Linked DNA regions of Kluyveromyces lactis. The protein of the gene in region 1 interacts with the protein of each later gene in a pairwise test. Links are inferred from orthologs where the notes say so. Each region holds a gene or a part of one and is shown in the gene's direction. Other genes may lie near its edges.

Region 1 (2,992 bases):
TTTGACGTAGCATCCTCGAATATCCGGTATTTGAATCTAACCAATAACATAAGGGTTGATACACCAACCTATAAATGCTGCTTTGTGTTTCGTTCAAAATATATCCAGATTCCATTCTATATGAAAGAAACCTTATTGCTGCCCTCAAATGGTTCAACTTTTCGACCTGCATATCTGCCGTATTAATTCCACGATTAAGCTCTTTGAGCAAGAACATGGTACAGAGCTTATCAAGTATGTCATCGTCATTTATTTCTAGGCATTCAGTAATCTGATCTTCAAGACTTGGTTGCGAAAGTTGTTTTTCCTTGACTTTTTCTAAAACACTTTGTAGCCTTTCCTCTTGGTGTACTTTGCGCTCGTCATCTAGTTGAGCTTTTTCCAAGCCAACTTGTATTCTATCTATGTCCGAATGAAGCTGCAGAAGCTTATTAGCAATTTCATTCAAAGAGGAAATCTCTTCTTCATGTAATTCAGAACCATTGATTGTTCTTGTCACCGTATCAGGTAGTTCTATTTTTAATTCCGCAAGGAGACTTATATTTTGAATCAATTTCTCAAGCTGGGTGGCACGACGAGTCTTAAACTCCACTGTTTTCTTTTTATTTGAACTTTCATCTGATGATGCTGAAGTATTACTATAGTTGGAGTCATCTCTATCATGTACTGCACTTAACATCCCTAATCCGACACCTTTAGGACGAGTGACTGTTTCGATTGGGTTCACTATACCTTTCCCATCTCGTCCTAAACCTTCACCTTGTTTGTAACCCATTTTTGATAAAAGCTTGGCACCCATACCATAGGTCTTTAACATCTGGTCGCTTTTCAATCCATCATTGGAGTTGGCTTGTCGTACCGGTTCATAGTCTTCTTCTTCTTTTTGTTCTTCATTGTCATCGCTATATCCATATGGATCGGTAAATACCATACTATTCATTGTCATACTGATCTTTCTTCTTTTGAACTGATCATCGTCACTGATATGTTCTGACATCTATACTGAATCACTGGAGTAGTAATAGCTGACTTGGAGTGACTGATACTCCTTTCAATCTTTACTCCGATTAATAGGTATTTATTCATACTTTGAAAAGATTTAAAGGTTTGAAGTTCAGTCTTCGAAGTGAAATTGACCGTTTAAGGGTTTCAAATTGGAAACGTTGAAGAGATGAAGATCTTTCGGTTGATCTGAACTGCGTCTACAAGAAATGAGTGATGCTGCAACTACTATACCCAGTGATGAGATAGATAAATTGTGGAATAAGGCGAGAAACCAGCTTGTGGAAGCTCAAGTCGAATGTGAAGAATCATTAAAAATCCTCTCTAAAGTGCGAACTGAAATGGACAGCTCTCAAAAGTCCAGATTTAAACTTAAATTTATACTTAATTGTTTGGTGAACCAGGTTGAGTTCTTCAAGAATATCATGCTCGAGAAATGTATTTCTACAGAGTTGATTGACAATGAATGGTCAAAGCTGGTTTTAGTCGAGATAGTCAATGACGTGAGTTATTGGCAAAACGAGATAACAACAAAGATGAAGATCTTGCAGGGTACAAAATACGACTTGACTGACGATCACAGTAGCCTTTCAGATTTCATATGCATGGATCACGTAGACATACTACAACAAAAAATCGATGAGATTCCTATTATAAAACAACAAGTGACAAACATACGACAACACTACAAATCGATAAAAGATCGAATAGAAAACCAACTAGTGGCTGTAAAGTTGAAAAAACTCAGAACTTACTTTGATTCACATTTCAGCAGGGATAGCAAAAATAATCTATTCAAATTGTTGGAAAGTGATTATGTCACTGAATTGAACGAATTTGAGAATGAACTTGCCGATTTCTTGAGATCAATCACTGATCATTTCGACAAATGCACGATATTGAAGGAACAGCAGATTCCACTACCAGATTTGAAGGAACTTTTCCAGATTGTAAAGAAAGACGATACACAGTTAGAAAATATAAGGGAATTAGTATTCGAAACGGGACTTGAAGTGAAAGCTTTCTCAAAGAAAGTCAATGAAACAATAAGTGAAATAATGGACAAAATTGGTGGATTCCATCTGCTGGCTTCCAAGATTGTGACAGAGTTAGAAAAATGTGAGGAATACTTATCTATCTTCCAAAAGATTGCTAATTTAGTATTCGTTTATAAGGAATCTTGCATAAAAAAGATTGAACAAGTGCAACAACTCTGTGAGTTTTACGATAAGTTCAAATTAGGGTATAAAAACCTTCTACGAGAAAGAGACAGACGGAAAGCCACTGCGTTACAAATGGAGAAAATATTAAAGGAATGTCAGGAGAAACTACAGGCACTGAGTGATGCTGACTTGGACCAACGCCAGCAATTTTTACTTGAAAATGGTGACTATCTTCCCGAAAACATCTGGCCAGGTTATATCGACGATATGGAATCGATGTATAGTTTCGAATATAGCATACATAATGTACCGAATTGACGGTATTGTGTTATTATTGATACATAAGTATACATATTTACAGGTATAAATTATCTTTTACATCGTTATGGTTAACATTACTTTCTGTGGTTCAAAAATTGCAAGGTATCATTTATAATTTTTCTCAAGATCGACGAACCTTTCAAAGACATCATCGATAGTTAGTAAATCCACTTTCTTCGACTCCCTGGTTCTAATCGCCACCTTGCCTGCTTCAACTTCTTTGTCACCAATCATTATAATATAAGAATAATGCTTCTTGATGGCTTCTCTAATTCTTTTACTTACAGATTCATCTCTTGCATCCATATCAACAGAGAAATGGAAGCTGTTGAGTGGAATTGGGCTTTTTGGATCACTATTTTCACCACGTAATGAGTTGACTGTCTTGAAAGCCAATTCCATTATCTTCTCATCTTCAGTCTTCACTGGGATGACCATACATTGGTTTGGATTCAACCAAAACGGCCATTTACCTTTGCTTGAATCAATTAAAATGGCCATGAATC
Region 2 (4,189 bases), on another chromosome or scaffold:
AATGTTTATCAGGGATAAATATTTAAAGGGTAAGTTCAGACATACCGCTGTCAAGGTGGAAGATTTCAATCTAGAGGATGATTCGTCACAATTGGACTACAAGTCATCCCGCCCATCATCTGCGTCCGGGTCCAGAAGAAACCGTTCTGCCTCATCTGCCAGCAGTAGACCAAGATCAAGAGAAGGAGACAGACCTCCGCTTCCAAAAAGGCCGGACAACAAAGTGCAAGAAGCCGTTTTCGATGGAACAAGTGAACCAAGCCTACCTAGTACAGCATCGGCAGAACCTCGCCCAGCAGTATTCGATGGGGTACAACAATACTATGATCCAACTACCGGCCAAATTTATGTAGATCAAAACTCCTATGCGGCAATGCAGCAGGCCCAGGTACAAGCATTGGCACAACAAGTTCAACCTCAGTTTACACAACAGGTTCAACCTCAGTTTACACAACAAGTGCAACCCCAATTCACACAGCAATTACAACCTCAGTTCACCCAACAGGTACAGCCTCAATTCACTGCTCAACCATCGATAGATAAGAACACACTATTATCACTGTATCAAAGACCAGATTTATATTCTAGTGCCGTAGAAATCAAACCGGATAATCCACAATACCAACAGATCCTGAATCTCCAAAAACAACAGCAGGACCAACAACAGCAGCAACAGCAACTGCTACAACAACAGCAGCTACAACAGCAGCAACAGCAACAGCTCCTGCAGCAACAACAGTTACAACAAATGCAATACCAACAACCACAACAGTACCAACAACAATTCTACCCCCCATTCCAATAGATCATCATCCCTTGGCCTTCTTTGCAGCTGCAGCTGCAACTGCACATCTGCTACCGCACTACGGTTTAATCTCTCATACCTATGTTTGCCTATATAATACGTAAATATGGCTAAAACCAAAACACCGCTACAACTAATATCTAACTTTGTCTTCCTCCTCTGACGTTTCACAACGTCTGCTATACACTCTTATCCGGAACATCCACGATCTACTTACTACCTAGCTATCACCACTATTATCTTACTGACCATCAAAAAAAAAACCTCCCATTGACTCATAACCAATCATATCTTATTTGCACTTAACGAGCGTTTTCTTAAAACCGTTCCACCAAGCACCAGTGTCTTTCCACTGCCTTTACTGTGTACGTTTTCTGCGATATATCTGTCTTTCCTTCTTTGTTTCTTTATTTCTATATAAAGTTCAAAATGACTTATTACAAACTAAGTTTTGATCCTTAAAAACCATTTATAAGAAATAAGAACGCCCCCCCTTGTAAAGAAAGAGGCCAAAGAATGACAACGGTCTGGCACTGAGTAGTCATATGGAAAGCGGTTGAGCATGAGTTCAGAATCGCACGACAAAGTTGTGGCGAAAGCCATTCGTTTGCCGACAGAAAACTATTCCGTGGAGAAGGAGATCGGTAAGGGTTCATTCGCGGTTGTTTACAAAGGTCTATCGTTAAGAGATGGGAGAAACATAGCTATCAAGGCCGTGTCGAGGTCGAAGCTAAAGAACAAGAAGCTTTTGGAGAATTTGGAGGTCGAAATTGCCATTTTAAAGAAGATCAAACATCCGCATATTGTGGGGTTAATAGATTGTGAGCGGACTTCATCTGATTTCTATTTGATCATGGAATACTGTGCACTAGGTGATTTAACGTTTTTCATAAAGAAGAGGAAGAACCTAGTGCTCAAGCATCCTTTGATAAAGACTGTTTTTGAACATTACCCGCCACCAAGTACGGAACATAATGGATTAAATCGGGTTCTTGTGGTAAACTATTTACAACAACTATCCTCTGCGCTTAAGTTTTTGCGATCTAAGAATCTAGTACACAGAGATATCAAGCCACAGAATTTATTGTTATGCACACCGTTATTAGATTATAATGATCCGAAGACGTTTCATGAGTTGGGGTTTGTGGGAATCTACAATTTACCCATCTTGAAAATCGCGGATTTTGGGTTCGCTAGATTCTTGCCTAATACTTCTCTAGCAGAAACTTTATGCGGGTCACCATTGTACATGGCTCCAGAAATATTAAACTATCAAAAATACAATGCCAAGGCTGATCTTTGGTCAGTAGGAACGGTGCTATACGAAATGTGTTGCGGGAGACCGCCTTTTAAAGCATCAAACCATCTCGAGTTGTTTCAAAAGATTAAAAAGGCCAACGATGAGATTACAGTGCCCTCAAATTGCTATATTGAACCGAAACTGTTCAATCTAATAAGAGGGTTGCTAACTTTTGACCCGGATTCCCGTATGGGGTTCACTGATTTTTTCAATAACGAAGTAGTGACAGAAGATTTGACAAGGTACGAGCAATCGTATGAGCCAGACTTAGAATCCAAGAGTAAAGATGTCGCTGAAAGTAATATGTTTGTTTCAGAATATCTAGTCAAACCATTAAAGCAGCAGGAATCTGCACATATACCACCAACTCAAACTGACGAGAACACTAGTGTACAAACTGGCGTTAGGCGAACCTCAGGTAAAGAGAGGCTCGCAACAAACCATCCACCACATCAACAGATCCACCCAGAAGATAACTCTCAAAACCCAGAACAAAGCTACCAATCTGCAAGTCAGAAGAGGCTAAAGAGCTCTTACAATGATTTGATTTTGGAGAAGGAGTATGTTGTTGTGGAGAAGAAAACTGTCGAAGTAAATTCTTTGGCTGATGATTTTGCTAATAATGGACCCATAACAAACAACCAAGGGGCACAAGTTATAAAACCCTTGAGATACAGAACGTCTTCTTCTAGCGATGCATCAGGAGGAAGAAGAGCCTCTTTAGTGGAGAGAAGGCTTTCGATATCGTCATTAAGCCCGTCGAATGCGTTATCGAAGGCACTAGGGTTAGCTTCTGTAAGGCTTTTCGGATATCAACATAATACAAAGGCTACTTCTTCGCCACCTCAACAAACACTACTGAATCCTCAGATATTTCAGGAGCTAACGGAAAATGCAGTATTGAGGGCTGATCATAAACTAAATCCTTTCAGCGAACAAATGTTGGATTCCAACATAACTCCTGCAGTGGAATCGCTTGCGGCCAAAGCATTTGTCATGTATTCGTTCGCTGAAATGAAATTCTCTCAAATTCTTCCAACTCCTCCTTCTTCAACCGACTATGACCCACTGTCAGATAAACGTCTAAGTAACGGAAGTTGCGCGATAGAGGATGAAGAAGATTTGGATCAAGGCCGCCCACCTTCTAATCAAACTTTGACCTCAGCAACAACAAAGATTTCATCAGCCACCAATGTTGACACTCAAATACCGGCCCCCGAGTTGAAAAAGTTGTGCACCGAATCTTTACTTCTTTATCTAAAAGCTCTTACTATTTTAGCTGCTTCAATGAAATTAACATCAAAATGGTGGTATGAAAATGAAAGTAAAAACTGCACTTTGAAGCTAAACATTTTGGTGCAGTGGATTAGAGATCGCTTTAACGAATGCTTAGACAAGGCTGAATTTTTGCGTTTAAAGCTCCATGCTATTAATACATCACCAAATTCCCAATGGTCAGATGATGACCCTGTAATTTTTGTTGAAAAGTTAATATACGATCGTGCTTTAGATATATCTAGAAATGCTGCAAGAATGGAAATGGAAAGTGGGAATTACAATACTTGTGAACTAGCCTATGCTACTTCATTATGGATGTTAGAAATTTTGCTGGACGAAAATTTTCAATTCAACGAAGTCTATGATGACGAGTATGCATCAAATATCACCTCCTTAGACGAATCAGATAAGGAAATGATAAAGAAATACATTTCAAGTATTGCTAATAGGTTAAAGGCACTAAAATCCAAAATGGTTTAGGATTGATCATCTTTTGGATTGGGTTTTTTACAATTTACATTTTATATAATGATTATATATATATGGATTAGGGTTTTTTCCATTAAACACTTACTACTTTTTTTTTGAAACGATACCGATATCGTTTAGTAGTAAAATAAGATTATATCTATGAATAGAATGACTTATTATAATAAATTAAATACCAAATTAAAAATTTCCAAACTTCAAATACGAAACAAAACGGGAGATGCAAATATAAAGCGTTTCAACTTTTGACAAAATAACTCAAATGTCGCTCAAAGGACCTCTATAGTACTATTGGAGCCTTGGTTTGTACGTTGTTG
Region 3 (2,176 bases), on another chromosome or scaffold:
TTGTATGCTTGTTCTCCTGAGACTCTTCCTCAGGTACTGAGGTGGCTGCAGTACTAGGCGGCGGTTCATCCTCAGTTATCGGCAGTTGATTCAGTTCTAGTTCCGGGTCCTCATCGTTAAACTCGAAATCTGCAGGAATGAACAACGACTCTCTCCGTGAACTCTTACGCCTCCTCTTTCTCAGAGGTCGTACCTCATCATCATTCAGCTCGAGACTATTCCCGCTATTTTCATGGTTATCTTCCGCAATTGGATCCTCAAACCCAACTGGTTTCGTTGTGGTATTTGCACCAGTAAACTCCACTTTCTTCGCAGATCTCGGGCTTATACCATTCGAGCCTCTCAAAATCGGTTTAAGAGGGTTATCATGAATACCTGATTCTAAACCCTGGCTCTCCCGTACTGTGGTCAACAATTGGTTCATTTGCAAGAATTTTTCTACAATTCCGTCCTCTAACGTCTGGAAAACAGTATTGAGCTTCTCACGATAGCGCAATTCACCCATAGAAAGCCGCGACCGTAAGGAAACATTCTCTTGCACCAATTCACTCACTTTAGTCTCCATATCAGTGATTTTCATCATAAGACTGGAATTATATTTCGCAAGCTGACTGTTCTGCTGTAAATAAATTCCCTTTTGTTGCTCAAGCATAGCTTGAAATTCATCGTACTGCGAAGAAGCGCTCATGTTGCACTCTCACAAAACTTAGTAACACTATCCGCCGTCAATTCGGGTCCCTATAGACTTAGGAATCGCTCTTCTTTCAGTCAATGAACAGGTTATTTAAACGCTGAATGAGATCTAAAGCTTTGAATGTTTTCATTGTTTACGTTTTGTTCTACGATGTAAACACAAAAAAACAAGATTACCCGGATCATATTTAGTACTACATTTAATTCAAATGAGGTAAGTTGGACATGTAATGGGCAATTTGATGTTATCCAACCCTTCGTTCATTCTAAATAGCGGTGTTAATGCTTAGCGTAGCTTGTATAGATCAATCTCCCCTGATACAAGTCGGTTTTCTCGAGTTTTCTTCCTTTATTTCAATATCGGAATAATATGAAATCACGACTTTGAACTAATCTCTACAATGTGAATTCTTTCAAAGACTAGAAGAACCAAGAATTATCAGCTAAGATAGACACTTCTCGGAGCGAGTTGGATGATATATTCTAGCTGAAGAGTAAGAGGTTTGGGTCACCTGAAAAAAAGTTGTCAGTATGGCATTTGAAACCGAGATCGAGACTAAGAGAAGAGAATTGAATTATTTGAAGCATGTTTCTGCATTGACACAGAAATTAAAGGCTCAATTGGACGAGCTGAGCGTTCAGGTAGCGCAGATGAATAGCAATGCTGTGACTGTTAAAGACGTAATGGCTAATTGGGACTCGGTTCTTCGGTCTATCTCTCAGGCTTCGATATCTTTACTTCAGTATACAGAAAACGACTATGAGACTGGGAAATGGGCCAGTAAAGAGGAACATAGAAACCAACAGGGCGCTGAAGATGAAAGTGCTGCGTCAGAAAGTTCAGAAGATAACCAGCAGCGGCAACAGGATCAATTACCTCCGCTTCCGGAAACTTTGGTACGGGTGAAAGTTGCAGATGACGTTGAATAACGTTTTTATTGAATATATACATATGGTGTATAAACAGGTTTTATACTATGTACAATTAATTGGTGTGGCACCTTCTTCTATTATTGAATTAGAAAGATGTGGGACTTGTCTCGATTGTGTTAGTTGCGTAATTGATGACACATTGGTTACCGGTTTCCTCGTTGATTTCTCCAATGATGGATTGTAACATCGTAACGTCCAAATTCGAATTAGCGAAAAGAGCAACCTCTCGTTTGACGTCGCTAGCTAATTTATTAAGATCGGTTAGTCCATGGTACATGCCATCCAGGTATGAGTCAGTGATCAATTTCTCATTGGCCAAGTTGTCGATGATTGGAAGTTCGATACTTTGATGGTAGAACTGCTGCTTGAAAAAGACCCTTAAAGTTTGTCTAACCGCATTTTCATCGGATAAGAGACACCTTCTCCAGATCTGGTACTCGCAGTACTTTTTTACTTCAGTGGGTAACGTGTGATCAATGGCAAGGATACTCAATGCAAATCCATAAGAAGTATCTTGATTTAATAGTGTGAATAATTCTATCATATGCGG
Region 4 (2,361 bases), on another chromosome or scaffold:
CTTAGCTTCCAAATATTCATCAACTGGCTTTTGACCGTTCAATTTGAATTCAGTAGAGTTAGAGAAGGTTGGTCTGACATAATGGTAGTTGGAGTCAAACCATTTAACCATTTCCAAAGCTGGCACATCAACAGCAGCAGTGGTTTCGGTAGCCTTTCTTTGCAAACCTCTAGCCATAGCAAAGTAAGTGTCCAATGGAGACAATTCATACTTAGAGTAACGTTGTGGGATAACGTTGAACAATAGAGAAAGATCCAAGACTTGATCGTAGAAAGAGAAATCGTTGGAAGCAATGACATTGACACCAGCATCCTTTTGCAACTTCCAGTTAGAGGCCTTGATGTCCTTAGCAACTTGTTGTAATTGTTCAGCAGAGACCTTACCGTTCCAGTACCCTTCGGTAGCCTTCTTCAATTCTCTGTTTGGCCCAATTCTTGGGAACCCTAAGACGTATGATTGAACCATTTTGTTATTGACAAACTAATGTATGATTAGTGATTGGTTTGTTTGGCTTAAGATATTAAACTCAAACTGAATGATAAAGGAAATAAATCTGTATTTAAACAAAGTACACATAATTCCTTTTATTATTGTAATGATGAACAATTGTCACTCCTCAAATTACATCAAGAGTCGACTGCTTATATACATTTTTTTTCAGATCCTCTTTGGACTGAAGTTTCTGATCCAACAAACATCGTTTAAACGATGAGTCTTAATTACCTTCGGCTGCTCTAGTCGTTCCCACGAAAAAATCTGCTCAACTACAAAACTGCCACTATTACTACTGCTGCTACTACTACTTACTTTTGACTTGAGCTCATCGGAACGTAACAGAACAAAACTTTTCACCACAATTCACCAAAGGATTCTTTCTGCAGAGATGGGGCTCTCTCAGATACCATAGAAAAGCACATGTCGTCAAAATAACACTTCCCACGAATCGCACAGCATTTCACATGTGGTTTGCCTAATGGTTTCCACATGGTTTCCTGCACGGTGTTTTGACGTAAATAGTGTGGTATAAGACCGACGTAGGTTGGGCAAATGGTAACTGTCACGTGCTGTGCCGTAGTCATGGCTAACCGGTCACGGGGAATGGTTCGGACTGCAATGTGGCTCAATTTGGTCTGTAAGGGTGTGGTTGGGGCGGTGGTTGTGCTTGTTGTGGCGTTTTTATGCACTTTTCCAAAGCAATTTTGATCCTTTTTTTTCCACACCATCCTCCTCCTTTCTTTCACATGGTGACGATGACTTCGTGATACTTACCCGGATTGATTGAAAGAGCTCCAAACTGAACAGCATTTCCAAGTCACATGTATTTTCACGTGACCTACAGAAGTAGTAGACTGTCTCTCTCGATTGGAACTCTCTTTCAGCAGAAATTTAAGCCAGCAATTATCACTCTTCTTCTTAACTTCGAACAACTATTTACGAGGTGAGACGATTTTCTCCAGTTTCAGTGCTATTACCACCAAACATCCAATATGCCGACTTTGGAAGTAGAGCACAAGAAGCTTCTTAATAGAAGAGAAGAATTGCTGAAACAAGACGTTTCTCTTAGGAAAGATTACAGTATCTTGCTTCGCAAGATTACAAGTGTCTGCCAGGTATTAGAATCATTAGGTGAGCCTATTCACATCAATTTAAATGGATACCCCATCTTCCAACAGCCAGATTATCAGAAGTTTAAAGATTGGGATGCTCTGGTACCACTTTTGAAGAGTTTAGAAGAAGTGAACTCGTTGCCCTTGGATGAAATCGAGATCCCAGAAGCTTTACAAGAATCTTATGAATTATTTAAGATGACTCCATTACTATATAAGGATGGTTCTGAATGAAAGTTTGGCTTGTCCTGAATTATCTTTTTCTTCTCCTCTCGTTCCGTATCATGTTCTCAACGGCTCGTGTGTTGATGAACAGTTCCAACAAAAATTTTCGAACTGAGGGTTTGAATCGGTACTCTCCCAATAATTCATAAACTTGTTCAAACATTTCTGGGCTTTGGAATCTACTAGGCCCATACTTGGACTGGAGAGCAGTTATCTCTTTGATCGCACCATTCAGAAGGATATTGTTGCCCATATCGCTTACTATCCTTAGGATCCTATTGTTGATCTTGTCATCTTCAAACACATCTGGCAGTTTCGACTCATTTGTTTGGGATATCTCTCGGATCGCTCGTTCCAATTCTTGTTTGTCCTCTTCCTGCTGGTCGGGATTCACAGACGTCTCGGATCTTTCCCATTCCAATAAGTTGTCTAAAGGGATCTCATGGTCCCCAACTATAATGTTCGAATTCAGTTCATTGTTACATATAGACGCCGCGTTCTGATTGTGTTCATTCACTTCATCCCATTC
Region 5 (2,821 bases), on another chromosome or scaffold:
CCTGCGAAGACAAATTAACCTACGATCCTATTCCGTTACCTAAAACGTTTACACCGGATATGTGCGAAGACTGGGAATACCGCAAGTGTACTATGACCGGTAGATTCTTGCATGATGAAGAGATTTTTGTCGGCCCCCGTGTTAGAGGAGGGATCAAGGGGTACGTTTTATATACGCCTTTCATCAGAAAGGATACGGGAGAAAGAATTTTGATTGAACGTGGTTGGATCTCGGAGGAGAAAATCGTTCCATCATCTCGTAACTTGCAACATTTGTCTTTACCTCAAGGCGATAACGTGACAATTACAGTGTTAGTGCGTGCAGCTAAAGATTTGACATCAATGCAATGGAAGAAGGAAGACAGGGAGAGTAGATTGTGGCAAGTCTTGGATATTAAGGATATGACAGAGATGACACATACTTCTCCTATTCATTACCAAGCTCTTTACGATCTGAAAGATCACCATTGGGATGAAGAATCAAAATCTGAGGGTATCGATAACAAAAACCAATCATCTTGGAAATTCTGGTCTAAAAAGAAAACCGAAACAGAACCACAACAAGAAGAATCCGAGAAACCACACGTCAACACGAAGAAAGTAAATACAGCAGATTCGGAGACAGGATTGGAATTTAACGAGTTCCAATTCGTTAAAGCGGGAGTGCCTATTGGTAAAGCACCAAAGATTGATTTGAAGAATAATCATTTACAATATTTAATTACTTGGTATGGGTTATCTCTGCTTTCATCTATCTTCCTTATCATTGCACTAAGACGTGGTCGTGGTTCCGCTATGTCACAGGATGAAATAAAGAGGCAAAAGCTAAAACATGCCAAGAAGTTCATGTGATAAAGAAACACATATTGATATTCTCAGGAATTTCTATCTCGATCCCATCATTTCCTTCAATTTTCTAGTATTCGAGATACTCAAATTCCAATAAATTATATTCAAGCAGTTAATTACTAAACACATAGTAGTATCAACCTTGTTTGTACCTGTAAATACTATTATAGCTATTTTGAATGATTTTCATTCCTGTTGATGAATACTAACTAACTATCGTTGAAATACTTGTACATCGAAAATCGAAAACGTAAATAAAGTAAAGCAAAACAAAAACACGAACAGTAAGGTGTCTCCAAGCAGACAGACGGAATGCGATAGTGTCTCTTTGGGCAACCTGGTATCTAATTTGACATCTCATAGACAGTCTGAGGTAAATTCATTACTTGTTTTTTTTTTTTTTGACCTTTCATCTTAAATTCTCAGGGCTACTTGGCACTATTCCAAACTCAACATAAAACTGCTGGATTCATCTGCTCATAAGATATGTCTCAAAGGCCAAATACTCCACAGCGGGACAGGCCAACTGAATATAGACTATCTTTGTCATCTAATGCAAGCTCAAGAAGATCTAGTTTAGGCAACAACGGTCGAGATCAGCATGCGTCAAATCAAACAATGATTGAAAAATACGTGCTCCCACAATTACAGGAACTTTCGGACTCGATGGTAACACTCGATGGTAACATGACGCACATGAATTTCATTCATGAATCGATAGCGGATTTAAATGAGGCTCTAAGCGCTTTATTATACGGATTGATGTGTAACTCTTGGTGTGTTGATTTCCCGAACATATCTCATGATACTCCGCATGAATTGAAATTAATCCAAAGACTAGAAGAGTTGAAACAAGAAAGACAAGCACTACAGGCGAAACTCAAGCCAAAGGAACTTACCAAAGGAAGCATATTACCTCTTTCAAGACAACCTTTATCACGAGGTTCTCAGATGTTGTATCGTGATGAAAATGTGCCAGGTTCTACTGCAAGCTCGAATGTTAACATTGACATTAACGATGACGAAGATAACACAGCCGCTTCGTTTGTATCCAACCCAACTACTTTCAAACCTCAAATGATATCTTCAGTAGGAGCTTCAACTGACTTTATGGGAAAACAAACGGTAGGCTCCGCGTCATCGAAACTCAGAAGAAGATCCATTCTACATCAAATACGAAACAACGCTGCAATAGGCACTATACCTAATACACTAACAGGTATTACTCCTGGAGAAAGAAAAAGATCACTAGCAGTCAGTGCAAAAAGAATTCCTATCTTGGCAGGATCATCGACTACCGCTGGCTCTGCCTCTTCTGCTAATCGTGAATCTACAAATACAGAGCCCGCTCTACCGAATAGAGTTGTAAGAACAAGACAGAGAACCTATAATCCAAAAAACCTTGCAAGCAGGCCTCCTTTCAGGTAACGAGTTATTTGATACTTCTTACCAGAGCTTTTTTCTAGATACATATTCATACCGTGTGTATATCTACCAAACAATGTAATATTACAACGTCAGTTAACAAAATGAAGAAAAAAAAATTACTGAAGGTACTCAGTAAAGATTGAAGTGCTCTATGAGGCTGCTCTTACCGCTTATCAGTGATACATGAACGTTCTCGTTTCAAGTGAAGTCTCGTTCGATTTACTTTTATTCGAGTTGAGCTTATTGAGCAAATAAAGGCCGCCCTCTTCATTTCATTCTGCAAGGAATTCTGTGAAGAAAAATGACCGAAGTTACAGAGAACATAAATCAATGAAAGAGCTAACATAAAGAATGAGATGAGAAGATTTTGAGAAGGTATTGGTTGTACATTTTAAATATAAGAAAGTGGCATATAAGTGTTTAGCCATACATCTTGATCAGTTCCATTCTAGCTGCTGACGGTTACACACCAGAAACATTGATGTTTTTTTGTTGATTTTAACTCTTTGTTCATTCACGTATTGGGAAGCGATTGACGAAGAAAA
Region 6 (2,679 bases), on another chromosome or scaffold:
GAAGTCAATTGAGCCAAAGTGGAGTTTTGAACTTCTCTGGTCAAGATTTCAGAAATAACCTTTCTGATTTGTCTGATGTGAGAAGATTGAGCGTAAGAAGTTCTCTTGACTTGGTTAGCTTGTTTTCTGGTGAAGGCAATAGCGAAGATTCTCAAAACGTAATCGTCAGAGGTCTTAACGGTAACATTGGCTTCAATCAAAGTTTGCCATTTTCTAACCATAGATCTCAACTTATCAGTGGTGAAATCCATACCGTGGAAGTTGGTCAACAAGTTCTTACCTTGGACTTCGTCAACTCTCAACTTGACCTTTCTGAAAGAGTGGTCTTCAGAACCTTGCAAGTCGGCCAAACAGACTTCGACAACACGACCCTTCAAAGAATCGGAAGCGTTCTTCAAACCAACAGACTTGTTGACCAAAGTCTTACCAACATTTCTGTTTTCAAAGGTGGATGGGGCCTTGATATCGTACCATTCCTTTCTGGTGAATGGGTCGACAACTCTCTTCTTCAAACCCTTCTTACCCTTGGACAATCTCTTGTTCTTACCAACAGCCATCTTGAATAAATGTTTATGGTACTTTTCTGGTTGATCTGCTTACTTTCGATAGAACCAAAGGAAATGATTACACTAACAAAATATAACTGTATCAAATAAAATAGCTGTTACAATAACTATCCAGTATCAAAATCTTATAAATTATTCTCTTCCTGCAATACAAAATTCATATTTCTTCAACTGTTACTATTTCGATAATTCAAAATTCAATATAATTGTCAATCGTCATTGAAAAATGGGACTCGATATTAGGAGGAAGACACCACAGCGAATGAAGCGCAAGCAGGCGAAACGATGGGGCGGGTGGTACGGACCGGTGTGAGAAAGACTGTAGGCGGAATGCCAATGGGAGATGCTAATGGGAATGGTGTAGTGAAGGGAGGGGAAAGGGAGTTACAGTCAGCCAGTGGAGGCTGGGAAGAGATTCCTACTGTGGAGCGTTCTGTCGAGCTAGGCCAGGAATTCCTGCCCTCTCAGCCTAGAGATTGAGCCTAATTTTTCGTGTTAGGCTCACCCGGTCACATGACAGCAGTAAACAAAGTTCCTATTTAGCAAAATATCTTACTGTTATGAAATTTGAAGATACACACAGTATGTATGGATGTAAAACTTATGAATACAATGGTGTCCGGATGTCAAAGCAACACGTGACCGCGAACAACAGTCCCAATGTTGTCATTTTCCATTTCTCATGCTACCATGATTTAAAGGTAAATAATGAGAATCTACACACATATCGGTATGCTCCATAACGACACATAGAAACATACAAATACGTGCTGATATCCAAGTTCAATTGTATCTTTTAAAACATCCTGTGTGCTACAGATATATACACACACAGAGCAGTGAGACAAGTCTACAGATAACACTCTTTTTTTTTTCGTTGCAATGTCTCTGGATAAAGATCGAGTACCGAGCCTTAGACACCAGGTCAAGGTGAAAGTTGGCCTGATAGGTGATGCACAAGTTGGAAAGACTTCTTTAATGGTCAAATACGTACAAAATGTGTTTGATGAGGAATATACGCAGACATTGGGGGTGCATTACCTCGAGCGGAAAGTGGTGCTGGGATCCACAGACGTTATATTCTCCATAATGGATCTTGGAGGTCAACGTGAATTTATCAATATGCTCCCTTTAGTATCCGAAGGTGCAGTTGCAATAGTATTTCTTTTCGATTTGACGCGGCCAGAGACTTTAAATTCGATAAAAGAATGGTACAGACAAGCAAGGGGGTTCAATGATACAGCAATTTCAATTCTGGTTGGAACTAAATATGACCTTTTCGTCGATATGGACCCCGAATATCAAGAAAATGTATCTAGAACTGCGATGAAATACGCTCAAGTTATGAAATCGCCTCTGATATTTTGCTCGACCCAATCATCAATCAACGTACAGAAAATATTTAAGGTCGTGATTGCAAAAGCTTTCAATCTAACTCTGAAAGTACCGGAATATAAACAGATCGGCGAGCCCTTACTGATATACAAATCATTCGGTCCTTCGCGACCTTCTTCTCCAAAAAGACAAGTGCATACCCCTCCGCCATCATCGTAAATCACCTACCTCCTATTACGTGATCAACGGTTTCATCTTGCCCGAAGCGGGAGGGTAAAGAATGAATAAACACGGTAAAATAGTAGTTAAAAAAATGCATCCTTTATTATATCTTTCTATCTTATAATTAAATAGTTGAAAAAGCAGTTTCATATTCTACTTAACCGCTACGCTACATGACAACCTAAGTAGCAATTATAATAGCAGCAAAGGCGTCTTGAAGGCATATACTAAAATGTCTTCAACATTTCATCTTCATGCAAGCATTGCTCCGCATCTTCCATGGAAATATTTAATTTGATCGTCGAGAGCCTCTCATTCTTCAAATATTGCCTTACTACAACACCTGCATCCAATAATTGCAATAAAATATAGTCCCAAGACACGGCCCTTAACTGTTCCTTTGTATCAACAGAATCATTTTGGAATAAAATCCGTTTCAACTCTAAAATGTATTTGTTATTCCCATTGACATCAATGAGGAGCCTCATTTCTTCTACGATATCACCAAGTTGTACGTCAGTTTGCTTCTTCTTAATTAAATTGATTAATGCGTATA
Region 7 (4,002 bases), on another chromosome or scaffold:
TTTAGTGCCTATCGCTCGGATTTTCTTCCAAATATGTGGTGTATCTATTATAATCCTTCTTTTCATGAAATACGCCTTGAATAAAAGCACCAATATGTTAAACAAACTACTGAGTGTTATAAAATTCGTCTTGTTGCTCCAAACTTCATCTGCAAATATCCCATTGTTTCTAATATTTGAAATACTGACTAGCGTCACACCGGACATCACACCAATTTTCTCATTATGTCTACAAAACCTCACTTTTTTCCAATTTGGTGGTACGAACTCCATTGCAACTGTCAATCTAACTAATGCATACAATGGTGTTAGTAGCAACTATAACATATACGTTGTTGGTGTATTAATGTTCTTGTCTAACTACGCACCATCCATCTACTGGGCTCTCTCACTAATTCCTCAAAGCTACAAACAGAAGACACTACGCTTGCAGCATTACTATATCACCGGAACATGTCTAATGATAGCGTGCATTGCACTAAGGTACCACCTATTCATTTGGTCCGTGTTTAGCCCGAAACTATGCTACTACGCGGCCTGGTCCCTCTATAATGTCGTCATGGATTTCGCCATTACCCTGCTTGGCGTTTTGTGAATTCTTAGTTTTTGAATGAAAAATTTCGATAAAATCAACATTTTGTACCATAGAAATTCAAATTGGACTGTAAATGATCATGAACTTTGATAGCCGCAAGGCAGGACAAACTTGCCAAAACTTATTGTTGAGGTTCGAATTGGTATCGGCAACCACATACCCACCATAACAAATCGGTTATTTTTCATATTATATAAAGAGAGAAATGTTGAGAGTGACTCGCGTGCTATTTAACCAAGTGAAAAGCGAGGCATCTGGCCAAGCTGCCAAGATCGTGTCATCATGTCCAGCTGGCACTCCATTGAACTTACAAATCAAGAAATCCGGTAAGGAACCCGTGGCATTAGAAGACAGCGAATACCCTGAATGGCTCTGGACAGTGCTTGATGCCAACGTCCAAGCTGAAAAACTAGCAGCTGATCCAATCAAGCTAAGAAAAAAACAATTAAGGATAGCCAACCGTGCCAACATCAAACAAAATAACTTCTTAGCAAAGATTTAACGGACCCACAGTATGATTCACGCCTGTAAATATATATACATATAAAAATGACATAAAGACACATATCTAACATAACTTTTTGATATCTTTCGTACACTTCCTTTTCTGCAATACTGGATCTGCTATAGGTATTTTTTTTTTTTTACTATTAAAGTTCAAAATATTCAAAATATATCGACGATGAACTACTCTCACGCTTCTTGAAATACACGTAACACAGATCAACTGGCGATCTAACTGTGGTACCTTCTCTTCCATAACTTTAACTGCCGGATATTGAACCAATATAGTGGGATGTTACTCTTCAATACAGAAGATTTGAAGGCAATCTTCCAGGAAGTGTCTCTGAACCCTTCCGACCGTCTTGTCTGCAACAATTCCAACACTATTTATTTATGGCAGGACAACATCTTAAGAGTGCAATCAGACCACGAAACGCAATACAGGAGTTATAATGTGGAGCTTCCATTCGTTCCAGAACAAATGGTCATCAGTCCGTCGGGGGGCCTTGTAGCATTTCATGCGAACAGCGAGCTCTATGTCATGGAAGTGAATGAGCAATCTAGATTAAGAAAGCATTTCAATACCAGTCTAGGGATAAAAAAACTATTATGGCATCCTCTGGCTACTTATGGGTTATCTTTCGTTATTTTGCATGATGATAGTACAATTCGAATTTATGATCTTGAAGACCTAGAACCCGAATCTATCACTGTTTTCAATCGTAAATCGAGATCATTTGGGTTATCAGACCATGTGGAATCAGTTTGTGACATTGCATTTGATCCAACCGGTTTGACACTTTATCTGCTGAGCTCCTTCAATTACTGTGACATATATGCTATCCATCCGTGTCTACCAAAGAATTTTTCCCTACGCAGTAATGATACATCAAATGTCACATCAAGGACGAAAAATGGTTCTTTAGCGGATTACATGTTGCACAAATCATTGTCTTTATACAATAGCCTCGATAAACAGCTAAAGCTGATATCAGGTTCAGATCCTGATGTGGAATCCGATTACCTCACCTTAAAGCATGATCTATTGAAACAAATTCAATTTTTCGACAACTATAAAAAAAATGATGGTATAGACACATTCACGAGCAAAGCAATCAGGAACTCTGTACCACAGGGCCCGTTCATTATAAAAAAATTTCCGACAGCTTTGAATGCGAAAGAGGTCACAGGCTTGACAATCATACCGGTTGGAGAACGTTTGGGCCTTTTGAATCTTCAATTTATAGATGGAACAAACGTTGTGTTGTTCTCCGATTCTGAAATTGTCATGAGTTGGAGTTTACGCTCCAATACTACATTCAATAACCTTAGTGTAATAACAATGTTCAATGCAAAAGGTCAATGCCAACTACTAAACTCCTCGGAACCTAAATTAGTATTTACTGGTGATAGCTCCACGACTATCATGGAAATGCCATGGTTGGAACCATTGGCACAGTGCATAAGGCTTCATGACTTCTCTATCATTGATGATGTTAAGTTTGAAAATAAAATAAGAACAGTTTCAGGAACTTTCCTCGGTGTTTTATCTACCTTGTCTGGTGATATTCTTTACAACGGCAATTCCTTCAAGGTCATCGAGAGTAACGACAAGAGCACCACACAGAAACCCATAAACAGAACCGATGAAGTGAAATATACATATAAACCATCGTTGCCAACGTCTGGAAAGGAATTGGATATGCTTTTGACGAAGTATAAAACAGAAGCCAATGGATTCATTTCAGGCATACCGGACTCTTTGGCTCCTCTCCCTTTGAAGAACAATTCCAATGAACGTCAATTGGAAGTGGTTTCTGAACTTTACAAGGAAACCATGAAGCGCGTCAAGTTGGGACAGATGATTTTATTTAGAATGTTCAACAAATCCAACGAAGAAGTGGCTGAACTCCATCGCCAATTAAGAAAAACCAACGAGATCGAAATGTTGAGAAATAAACTTAACGGAAACTTGGGAGACCTCCAAGAAAGATATTCCAGGTATGAGGAAAAGTCCAAGACGTTGGAAAAACGACTTGACAAGTTAAAAGAGACATTCTCCAGTATAGAAAATAACGAGAAATTAAGAACAAGCAGTATCAGCGAGGCCGAACTAGTGTGGTTCAAAAGTATCAAAAACCAGGTATTAAAGTTCAATAACTATGTACATCTGACAAACAAACTTCGCGAAGAACTAGAGTTTTTGGACACACAGCTTAGATCAACTACTAAAGGAGACGATTTCTTTTCCGAGCTAGAATTTAGTTCCCTACAACAAATGTTACTGAACGACAAAAAGGTCATCAATTCTTGTATGAATGAGTTAAGCGCATCCATTGAAGATCTAGCGGTATAATAGCAATCACCATCTACATATCTTTTTTTTTTCGTTTTTAGTTTTAAAACTGGCATATACCTTACTATATTATGTGCTACTTTTTATATCATTTCATTATGTGAATATGCTACTAACCGAATTTTGTTTTAACGTGTGAATGGCGCTCAAAAATCGGTGACTCTTCCGTTGAAAGAATAATCACCATGCCTTAATGGATCCTGCTTTGGTCCACCAATTTCTCCTGTTTTAGGATTCTTTTCGCCTTCGAACTCTGGTATAGTCTTCATAAATTCTGGAGAAAACCCACCAATATCGTTCTTCAAGATTGGCGATTTCACCGATTCCATAGTATGATCCGATTCAAACTGTGCATTATAAGAATCAATAGCTTCTTGAGAAGACGCTAGCTTCTGCAGCCTTTCAAACTCTTCCTGGTCTTCCTTTGGTAATGGTGGTGGACCTGCTCTTCTTTCTTGAAATGTTCTAATTTGATTCAACCTGACAAAGGCTGGTCTTAGACCGACTAATCTTACACTTTGTTTTCTTATACTGGAAAGCATGTAGG

What was found.
Region 2: the proteins of ATG17 (region 1) and ATG1 interact in a two-hybrid assay, tested with the Saccharomyces cerevisiae proteins (2 studies listed by BioGRID). The link is inferred for Kluyveromyces lactis from reciprocal best matches to the Saccharomyces cerevisiae genes ATG17 and ATG1.
Region 3: the proteins of ATG17 (region 1) and DAD2 interact in a two-hybrid assay, tested with the Saccharomyces cerevisiae proteins (2 studies listed by BioGRID). The link is inferred for Kluyveromyces lactis from reciprocal best matches to the Saccharomyces cerevisiae genes ATG17 and DAD2.
Region 4: the proteins of ATG17 (region 1) and IES5 interact in a two-hybrid assay, tested with the Saccharomyces cerevisiae proteins (2 studies listed by BioGRID). The link is inferred for Kluyveromyces lactis from reciprocal best matches to the Saccharomyces cerevisiae genes ATG17 and IES5.
Region 5: the proteins of ATG17 (region 1) and DAM1 interact in a two-hybrid assay, tested with the Saccharomyces cerevisiae proteins (2 studies listed by BioGRID). The link is inferred for Kluyveromyces lactis from reciprocal best matches to the Saccharomyces cerevisiae genes ATG17 and DAM1.
Region 6: the proteins of ATG17 (region 1) and TEM1 interact in a two-hybrid assay, tested with the Saccharomyces cerevisiae proteins (2 studies listed by BioGRID). The link is inferred for Kluyveromyces lactis from reciprocal best matches to the Saccharomyces cerevisiae genes ATG17 and TEM1.
Region 7: the proteins of ATG17 (region 1) and NUP82 interact in a two-hybrid assay, tested with the Saccharomyces cerevisiae proteins (2 studies listed by BioGRID). The link is inferred for Kluyveromyces lactis from reciprocal best matches to the Saccharomyces cerevisiae genes ATG17 and NUP82.

The regions. Positions count from the first base shown.
Region 1 is NC_006040.1:232,170-235,161, forward strand, and holds ATG17 (protein kinase regulatory subunit ATG17), read left to right. Parts: upstream 1-1,211; coding exon 1,212-2,483; downstream 2,484-2,992. Other genes in the region: mRNA splicing protein SPP382, read right to left, coding at 1-997; threonine--tRNA ligase MST1, read right to left, coding at 2,592-2,992. UniProt on the Saccharomyces cerevisiae protein: Autophagy-specific protein that functions with ATG13, ATG29, and CIS1/ATG31 in response to autophagy-inducing signals as a scaffold to recruit other ATG proteins to organize pre-autophagosomal structure (PAS) formation.
Region 2 is NC_006039.1:1,497,592-1,501,780, forward strand, and holds ATG1 (serine/threonine protein kinase ATG1), read left to right. Parts: upstream 1-1,367; coding exon 1,368-3,863; downstream 3,864-4,189. Other genes in the region: GTS1 (Gts1p), read left to right, coding at 1-805; KLLA0_C17182g (uncharacterized protein), read right to left, coding at 4,142-4,189. UniProt on the Saccharomyces cerevisiae protein: Serine/threonine protein kinase involved in the cytoplasm to vacuole transport (Cvt) and found to be essential in autophagy, where it is required for the formation of autophagosomes.
Region 3 is NC_006037.1:700,822-702,997, forward strand, and holds DAD2 (Dad2p), read left to right. Parts: upstream 1-1,224; coding exon 1,225-1,623; downstream 1,624-2,176. Other genes in the region: SGO1 (Sgo1p), read right to left, coding at 1-688; NUP133 (Nup133p), read right to left, coding at 1,712-2,176. UniProt on the Saccharomyces cerevisiae protein: Component of the DASH complex that connects microtubules with kinetochores and couples microtubule depolymerisation to chromosome movement; it is involved in retrieving kinetochores to the spindle poles before their re-orientation on the spindle in early mitosis and allows microtubule depolymerization to pull chromosomes apart and resist detachment during anaphase.
Region 4 is NC_006041.1:1,787,848-1,790,208, forward strand, and holds IES5 (Ies5p), read left to right. Parts: upstream 1-1,487; coding exon 1,488-1,841; downstream 1,842-2,361. Other genes in the region: MET6 (5-methyltetrahydropteroyltriglutamate-homocysteine S-methyltransferase), read right to left, coding at 1-465; KLLA0_E20087g (uncharacterized protein), read right to left, coding at 849-1,223; TORC2 complex subunit TSC11, read right to left, coding at 1,861-2,361.
Region 5 is NC_006038.1:999,345-1,002,165, reverse strand, and holds DAM1 (Dam1p), read left to right. Parts: upstream 1-1,334; coding exon 1,335-2,276; downstream 2,277-2,821. Other genes in the region: cytochrome oxidase assembly protein SHY1, read left to right, coding at 1-851. UniProt on the Saccharomyces cerevisiae protein: Component of the DASH complex that connects microtubules with kinetochores and couples microtubule depolymerisation to chromosome movement; it is involved in retrieving kinetochores to the spindle poles before their re-orientation on the spindle in early mitosis and allows microtubule depolymerization to pull chromosomes apart and resist detachment during anaphase.
Region 6 is NC_006038.1:457,049-459,727, reverse strand, and holds TEM1 (Ras family GTPase TEM1), read left to right. Parts: upstream 1-1,448; coding exon 1,449-2,120; downstream 2,121-2,679. Other genes in the region: RPS1B (40S ribosomal protein eS1), read right to left, coding at 1-557; ORC1 (origin recognition complex subunit 1), read right to left, coding at 2,351-2,679.
Region 7 is NC_006042.1:156,062-160,063, reverse strand, and holds NUP82 (linker nucleoporin NUP82), read left to right. Parts: upstream 1-1,391; coding exon 1,392-3,455; downstream 3,456-4,002. Other genes in the region: mannose-ethanolamine phosphotransferase LAS21, read left to right, coding at 1-595; MRPL37 (mitochondrial 54S ribosomal protein mL54), read left to right, coding at 801-1,097; SDH8 (Sdh8p), read right to left, coding at 3,602-3,997. UniProt on the Saccharomyces cerevisiae protein: Functions as a component of the nuclear pore complex (NPC).